2 linked regions of the Danio rerio genome follow. The protein of the gene in region 1 binds, or shares a complex with, the protein of each later gene. Links are inferred from orthologs where the notes say so. Each region holds a gene or a part of one and is shown on either strand. Other genes may lie near its edges. The genes, in order: cdk6 and cdkn2a/b.

The links.
Region 2: the proteins of cdk6 (region 1) and cdkn2a/b are in contact, whole or in part, in a crystal structure (PDB 1BI7), measured with the Homo sapiens proteins. The link is inferred for Danio rerio from reciprocal best matches to the Homo sapiens genes CDK6 and CDKN2A. Residues at the interface, in NP_001138778.1 of Homo sapiens: Glu14, Cys15, Val16, Ala17, Glu18, Ile19, Phe28, Lys29, Arg31, Leu33, Asn35, Gly36, Gly37, Arg38, Phe39, Arg44, His100, Asp102, Gln103, Asp104, Thr106, Thr107, Asp110, Lys111, Gln149, Thr154, Ser155, Leu166, Ala167, Arg168; in NP_000068.1 of Homo sapiens: Thr18, Ala21, Arg22, Gly23, Arg24, Glu27, Asn42, Tyr44, Arg46, Gln50, Val51, Met52, Met53, Met54, Gly55, Ser56, Arg58, Asp74, Ala76, Thr77, Thr79, Asp84, Arg87, Glu88, Gly89, Phe90, Asp92, Asp108, Trp110, His123.

The regions. Positions count from the first base shown.
Region 1 is NC_133194.1:42,948,763-42,952,594, reverse strand, and holds part of cdk6 (cyclin-dependent kinase 6), read right to left. Parts: intron 860-3,832; coding exon 809-859; intron 626-808; coding exon 490-625; intron 1-489. UniProt on the Homo sapiens protein: Serine/threonine-protein kinase involved in the control of the cell cycle and differentiation; promotes G1/S transition. Phosphorylates pRB/RB1 and NPM1.
Region 2 is NC_133176.1:27,776,040-27,780,447, forward strand, and holds the start of cdkn2a/b (cyclin-dependent kinase inhibitor 2A), read right to left. Parts: upstream 2,876-4,408; 5' UTR 2,614-2,875; coding exon 2,488-2,613; intron 830-2,487; coding exon 578-829; 3' UTR 1-577. UniProt on the Homo sapiens protein: Acts as a negative regulator of the proliferation of normal cells by interacting strongly with CDK4 and CDK6. This inhibits their ability to interact with cyclins D and to phosphorylate the retinoblastoma protein.

The sequences.
Region 1 (3,832 bases):
GCGTAACTGCATAAAATAAAATAAAAAAAATAAAACAAAATAAAACCCTTTTTAAGGCATAACAGCATACAATAAAAAAAATTAAATAAATAAATAAAATACAACCACTTTAATGAATAACGGCATAAAATAAAATAATTAAAATTAAAAAAATAAAATAAAATATTACCCTTTTAAAGGCATAACTGCATAAAAAAACTATAAAAATAAAATGAAAAAAATTTAAATAAAATACTACCATTTTTAATGCAGAATTGCATTGGATTGCATTGATTGCAATGGATAAAATAAAATACTTCCCTTTTGAAGGCATAACTGCATAAAATAAAATAACAAACAAATATTAATTTGGTTTACAGCACAATTTACTTGACATATTCCTTAACCTTTATAAAAGCAGAGAAGACTCTCTGTGGGTAATAATCTCATATGATAATCATCTAAAAAGATTGTTAAGCATTTAGAGATATAACATTGATATGAACTCACAAGTAGGAGTGATTTGCCGAGCTCATCCATGTCCGGCACCAGGTTCTCTATGGGCTGTGCAGGGCGAGGAGAGAAGGCACTCTGGGGCAAACCCACCTCCTGTGGCCAGTCCTCTGGAGACGGGACTCCCACCACACTGACACAACAAAAACAATACAATACAATCAGATGCTAACATCTTCAACATAACATAGCATAACATAACATAATATAATATAATATAACATAACATAGCATAACATAGCATAACATAACATAACATAACATAACATAACATAACATAACATAACATAACATAACATAACATAACAGCACTTACTCAAAAATCTTGCCTAGCTGGTCAACATCAGAGTTCCCACGGAAAAGAGGGCTGGAGAATAAAAAAAATATTGATAACTATTAATAATGCATTTGATTTATACAGTGTTTCCTTACAGCCAAAATGGTAAATCAAGTGTAATACTAAGGGGGAAAAACATTAACATTAACAATAAAAGTAAAACAACAGTACAAATACCTAAGATGAAAACACCATCATAAAAAAATTCTAATAAAAATTACTAATAATTTGATTATTCTTTTCACAGGAGTAACAAACAAGGTTTTATTTATAATAACTAAACTAAAATTAAAGGACTAAAATAAATGTAAATAAACCCATTTTAACTGAAAATAATAAAAAGTAGGGCAGCATGGTGGCGCAGTGGGTAGCACAATCGCCTCACAGCAAGAAGGTCACTGGTTCGAGTCTCAGCTGGATCAATTGGCATTTCTGTGTGAAGTTTGCATGTTTTTCCCGTGTTTTGTGTGGGTTTCCTCTGGGTGCTCCGCTATCCCCCACAAGTCCAAAGCATGTTGTGTAAGTGAATTGGGTATGCTAAATTGTCCAAAGTGTGTGTAAATGAGTGTGTATGGATGTTTCCCAGTGATGGGTTGCAGCTGGAAGGGCATCCGCTGTGTAAAACATATGCTGGATAAGTTAGCGGGTCATTCTGCTGTGGTGACCCCAAATTAATAAAGGGACTAAGCTGAAGCTTAAAAGAGATAAGCCAACCAAAATAAATCTAATAATAAAAATAAACAAAATTAAATTAAATATATTTACGAATTTTTAAAATTATGAATAAACACACCAAAAGACAAACAAAACATAAATCAAAAATATATTTTTTATAAAATTAAAAACAAAACTAAATGAACCAAAATAAAATATTACACTAAATCAAACAAATCAGAAAATAACAGGCTAATAAAAACAACTAATAAAATATGACAAGATTTAAACAAACTAAAATAAATCATTAAAAAAATGTAAACAAACAAAACTGAATTGAATAAACAATATATATATATATATATATATATATATATATATATATATATATATATATATATATATATATATATATATATATATATATATATATAAAACCAAACTAATTATGAAGAGACAAAATGAAAAAAACAAACTGAGGAACATTTCTTAGGAAACTACAAACATGAAACTAAATAAAGCAAAATAAAATGTTACACTCAAAACCAAACAAACAAAACAGAAATGAACAGGCTAAAATATAATTATTAAAATATCCAGATGACTTAAATTAACCTAAAAATTTAGTATTAAATGATAATTAGAATTGAGTTGAGCTCATTTTAAATACTTTGAACAAGCAGTAAAAGTCATTTTTTGAGTCAATGCAAGATAAAAAATTCTATTTTACCCTAATTACAAGATGTAAGTTAAGCCTTTGTTGTCTCCAGAATGTGTCTGTAAAGTTTTAGCTCAAAATACCCATCAGATTATTTATTATAGCCTCCAGAATCTGCCCATTTTGGTGTCTGAGTACAGTGTAGCTGTTTTTGTAGCCTGTGGCTTTAAATGCAAAAGAGCTGATTCTCCCAGCCTACTGTTTTCCTGTGTGTCTGTTTTTCCTGCGTTACGTCAGATAAACAGCAGTCAGTGATAAAGACAGACACAGACGAAACAGAAATACAGCTCATTAGTCAAAAATACCAAGTGTATTTCATGTATCTGTGATGGAGTTTACTCAAGCCTTTCTGAAAGGATGAGTCTCACACAAATGCTGTTTGCAGCACACACACACATATATTAGCATTTACTAACACCATGCGGCCATGGTGTTTAGATTGTTTAAGAATTACATGGCGAGTAAACTTTATTAGTCTTTATTACTTACATGCTCTGTTTTAAAAAACATTTAAGCTTATAGCAAATATTTTAGTCCCAGTTTCTAAGCAAAAAAATGTTCTGTGGATGTCTGTATACATGTTATCATAGAAACTTGTCGCCTGTCAATCAATTTGGTGGGCGGGGAAACCACTCCTACGTCATATTGCGGTCTCCCTCAACATCACTGGGTTTTGGATCCTATTTTAACGTCAGGAAATTTTAAAAGAGACTTGTTCTGTTTATATCACTCCAATATGACAGTGGACACACTATACCTACATACAGTTCTGTCCAAACAGCTTACAAAAGTTGATTTTCATCATAGGCGCCCTTTAATACAGGCATGCATATTCACAATACAAAGCCTGTGTGTGTTCAGAATCAAGCTTCTTATTCTGCAATAATGCTGAACAGTCTCTGGCCTGTCTCAATGAAGGCAAGGAGAAAGAAAATCCTCATAGGCTCCACTGTACAAATAAGGGCCCTTGCAGCCACATAACAGACATTGGTGCACTGTATATGCGTTGTTTCCTGGCCAGCCTTAGGCCCAGAAGATCTGAGGGCTTTTTCTGTCCACCCGCTTGTGGCTTGGGGCCAGTCAGGACACCCGTAGGCGGACGCTGCTTCCCTTGGCATGAACACAAATAGCAGGAGCCACAAGCACAGAGTCAGTTTCCAAAAACACACATACTGACTCAAAGAGAGAAAAACTGCTTTCACTCTCTATACAGCCAACATGAGCTGAGCTACACAGCAGAAGCGCATTAGAAACACCACACTGGAGGCTGAAGAGATACATTTTAATCACCGTGTTCTGTTCGTTCAGTTCTTTTGTATTAAATGTATTGCACAATAAATGCAAACTGAAGACATCGATTTTAATAGTCATCATGCTTTGTACTATGTTTGTAAACAGGCAAATGAGGCACTATTTAATTTAATATGTGCTCATTTGCACATTTGCATATATTTCAGCACAATAATGTGAAGATCAGGCCTTGTTTATTTATTTTACTCTTATTTTATTCTTGTTTATTTTTATATATATATTAGAGTCAAAGATGAGATTTTGCAATCTCCTTTTTTAATTCATCCAGAATTATATATACACACACACCACCTTATTATTTATTATTACACCTGTCCGAC
Region 2 (4,408 bases), on another chromosome or scaffold:
TTTGTCAGTTAACCCACACAGTTTAACCACACAGAGCTAACAAACAGCTAACCACGTTAAGCAAAATTATTTAAATTATGCCTTGGTATAAATAGAAAGTTTCATTTTTATTAGTCGTACAATATTATAAACTTAATAAAAGCATGTTTAACCGGAAGAAATGAAAAAAGAAAGAGCTCGCCAAAAATATTGGATGTCCTTGCGTTGCAAGCCATTTGATTCAATGTTTGTCGCCATGCTTTTCAGGTTAAAAACAAATAGGTGGATATGTTATTTAATTATTTATTTATCTTTGGACATAATGCTGTCTACACTTTTTATTATGCGAACTATAGGCTAGCATGAGCGTATGATGGTTTGTGTCTGTAGCCTTTTATTGAAGTTCCCATTGACTAGCTAATAATAAATAATAATAATAAATAAACTTAAAAGATACAGAAATAAAATTTTAAATGATTAGAATCTCCAAACTACATGAATGACCATGTGCTATTGAGAATTATAAGTACTTGAGTGCATTAATAAGGTTACCACCTAAAGTAGCCTAGGCTATGCAGTGATGCAGTCTTTAAACATTTTAAACACGATTGAGTAATTCAACCACGTCTACGTTGCCAGTCTGTTGTGCCACATCCACTGGTCGTAAATCGCAGTGATCTTTTGTATTGGGGTCGGCGCCGAAGCGGATTAAAAGCCGCACGGTGTCAATGAATCCGGTTCTGGCAGCGTCGTGCAGAGGTGTGCTCCCTGTGTCGGGGTCAGGCACATTAGGGTCCGCTCCCTGTTCCAGCAGCACAAGAGCCAAAGGTGCGTTACCCATCATCATCACCTGGAGAGGGGGAAAATTGCTGTCTCATGAAAAAATAAACGCCAGTAACGTCATGATGTCACTGTAAAGAAGTTTGTTTAATCAATAATTTTACTGCCATCACTCGAAATCTGGAAAGTAGATACTTTTTGGTTAAATAGGAACGAAAGCAGTGCACATGCTGGCACTGAACATTGCTGTGCATGATGCATTACTCTTTTAGCCTATCAATAAATTATTCACGGGCAGTAAATCAATTAAATGCAACAAATTGTGTTGTAGCTAATTCTTATTTTTCATATGATTAATTATGAAGATTCCTATAATCATTTTAAATAAAATGTATGCCATAAATATGCTTTGTTCACATTTGTGATTTTCTTAAACATCTTTCGTTTAATTGACATTTTTCTGAGGCAATTCATGCTCGTCAGAAGTTTTACAATTGCCTAATCTTTTACGATTTCTGGATGTATGCTGTCCATCTGTTTAAAGTGTGCTAAAAGATATCTATACGCACTTTATTGTAGGCTACCTCTTCGGCTTTTGATGTCCCGTAACCGAGAGCATGAACCGTAAAACCATTGGACATTGTGAAAATTAGATGAAAACTTTCACACCAAATATTATAATAATAGGCCTACACGATTATAAAAACAAGCAAAAATAAGTATGGTCTAAAATATATACTCCATTAGTCTATGACTGTGCTAGTGGTGGCTGATTATTTTGGTCAATATAGGCCAACTGTACAAATGTCAAAATATTAAACGTACATTCGTAAAAACAAGCATGGCAATAAGAGGAAAAGGGTTTTCGCAGTGATGCCCTTCTGGTTCCGCACAGAAAACCTATTACAAAGCTTCCAAAAGAAGTATTTTTATTGTCAAAAAATGAAATAAACATTTTAATAGTTTAAAGGCACATTTTTCAAAAATTTTCTCCATAGATGCAAAAGGTTCTTCTTAAAACCATCGATGCCAACAAAGCTTTCGGGAGTGAATTAGCAAGTAGTGTGCCATTCTTCTCGCACATAGAGATATGATTTAATAGTTTAAAATTTATCTGAAATTAAGATCTATAAAATGTCTTATTTATTTATTGTTATGTATATAAATCTATCTATCTATCTCTTATATATAATTGTAAACATTTGGTTTTTATACACAGTTATAGTACATTGGGACTTTCGTTTTCAATAAGATTTTAGTTTTCTTTGAATAATTTGAACTTTGACAATACATCCAAAACTCCTTGTCTTATTTCGGACTAATTTCTAAGAATGTAGCTATAAGTTAAAATTATAATGTTAAAATTAATGACATTACTAAAAGATAGAAAGTGTTGTTAGTATTATATAGGTTGATAACACGCTATTGGTAAACATGTTTCAGGCCGTTTAAGTAGCCTAAAAGGTTCTTAAACATGCTAAAATGAGTAAAATAAATACACAAATAGCCTAATATTTAAAAAAAAAAAAGAAAAGTAAATCCCATATAGTCAAACAGGTGTGAAAATATGAAATAGCCTAAATTTGTTAAATAATATGACCTTTAATACAAAATAAGTCTTTGAATTGTATGTTACTAATTTAATGTTACATATCTGCAATTAATCTTATTTATTTATTTGCATTTGTTTATTTCCGTTGTTTATTCTTAAAGCGCGTCTAAACCTACCTGTATAGGCGTTCTTCTAAATTTGTTAACCACATTGGCATTCACTCCGTTAGAAAGTAAAAACTGAACATGGGAAATGTTTCCGGTGGCTGCTGCTGTGGTCAGTTCATCCTCGACGTTCATCATCTTTATTGATTTTCGAAATTAATTCGCTTCACAGGTAAAACCAAATGATGATGATACTGCGAAAACAATCAGTTCAACGCTGTAATTTATTTTTATCGGTCTCCATGAATAACATGTTCCAATATAATGCGTAAATAAGCGAAACTGACTCGTTTATCAAAGTGTTGTGTCTTAAAATAATTTTTCGTAGCGAGATATTTGTTCGGACTTGTCTCTGTCATAAACGTCACAGCAAAACCGTGGTGCAGTACTGTCATACTGCGCCTGCGCACAACAGCTGAGTCAGGAAGACATGAGTTTACGACACAGTAGGAGAGGCTGCAGAGAAACAGAAATTAGGTTCTGCTAATGTTTTATGGCTAATGTAACTGGCATTAGCCTGCTTTTAGATCACAAGAAGTTTTTTTATTCTTTTTTTCGGGTACATAAGCATATCACAACGCTAATTATGCTAACATAATTGGGTTTTGTGCCATGGAGAAGTTACTCTTCGGGAATAGGCTAACGTTACCAGGAAAAATCTCTCGTTTTTCAAGAGTAAAGTTATTTTATGGATTTTGATTAAGACGCGATGTTAGCTAGGCCTGTAGAGATTAAGTTTGACTTGGCTACTTTAAAGTATATTATTTAGCCATTATGCTGTGTGGGGCGCTTAAGTTAAACTATATTTTTGATCCACATAAATTATAACAAAAAAGCATATACATACATTCGTGGTAGCCTATATTTATATTTTTTTCATAATGGTTGTTCTGTTTTTGATTGTAGATGAACATAAATCTATTTTCTGCACGATAGAAAGGACGCGAATGGCCATAATTTTGCCCAAACATCGTCTGACTTACAGTTTTGTAATGCTATTTCCCCATCACACGACTGTAGCTAAACTATAGCCTGTATCCAGAAACAAGGTATTAAACAATTGTAGCAAATAGTTTTTAATTTTAGCAGTGAGTTTGTTGCCTCTCTAATACGTTGAAAATAAGTAAAAAGATAAAGGGTCCTGTGGCTGTGTAGATCATTTACATAAAGTAAAAATCACATTCTGAGATGCACCTGTTTAAAATGAAGAACAGTGTGCTTTTGTATTTAATTTTCTAACTTATTCATGTTTTGATGTTGTTAACATGTTAATAATATTGGTTAATGTGCATGCAAAATAGATACTAAAATATGAAATAGTAAATAAAATAATCATAACAAACCAACGCAGTACAATATTAAAGAAAAAAAATAGTTGGCAAAGCCCCACTGGCTAAGTGTTAATAATAGAAAATTTAATTTAAATGTCATAGAAGCAACGATTAAAAATGAATTATTTTACTTAGTTTTGTTGAATAGATATTAAACAACATGTAGAAATAGAATAGTTGAACTATGTAACTAAAAGATATCCTGCACAAAGTTTACTTCACAACTCCAGTAAATAGGCATGAGCATTTTAATATTTAATACCACAGTTGAAATTCCTACATTAAAAGGGGGAAAAAAGAAGTTTTGATTTGATTTATTTATTTTGGATCAAAAATATACATAAAATATCATAAAAAAATAAAATAAAATAAAAAACATTTTCGAAAATGGACTGGGATGAAGCACAAGCCTATTATTTTCCCACCCCGTTACCACATACTTCATTCGTCTATTACTTAAACCTATTTCTTCTTTCACTCATCTCTTTTTTTTACATGAGACATATTTTATCCTTTTGGCATCTTTGACATGTTTAAATCCATTTGTACCTTTACATTTTGTAACATAGACCTAAAAAAAAAACAAAAAAAAAACATAGTAC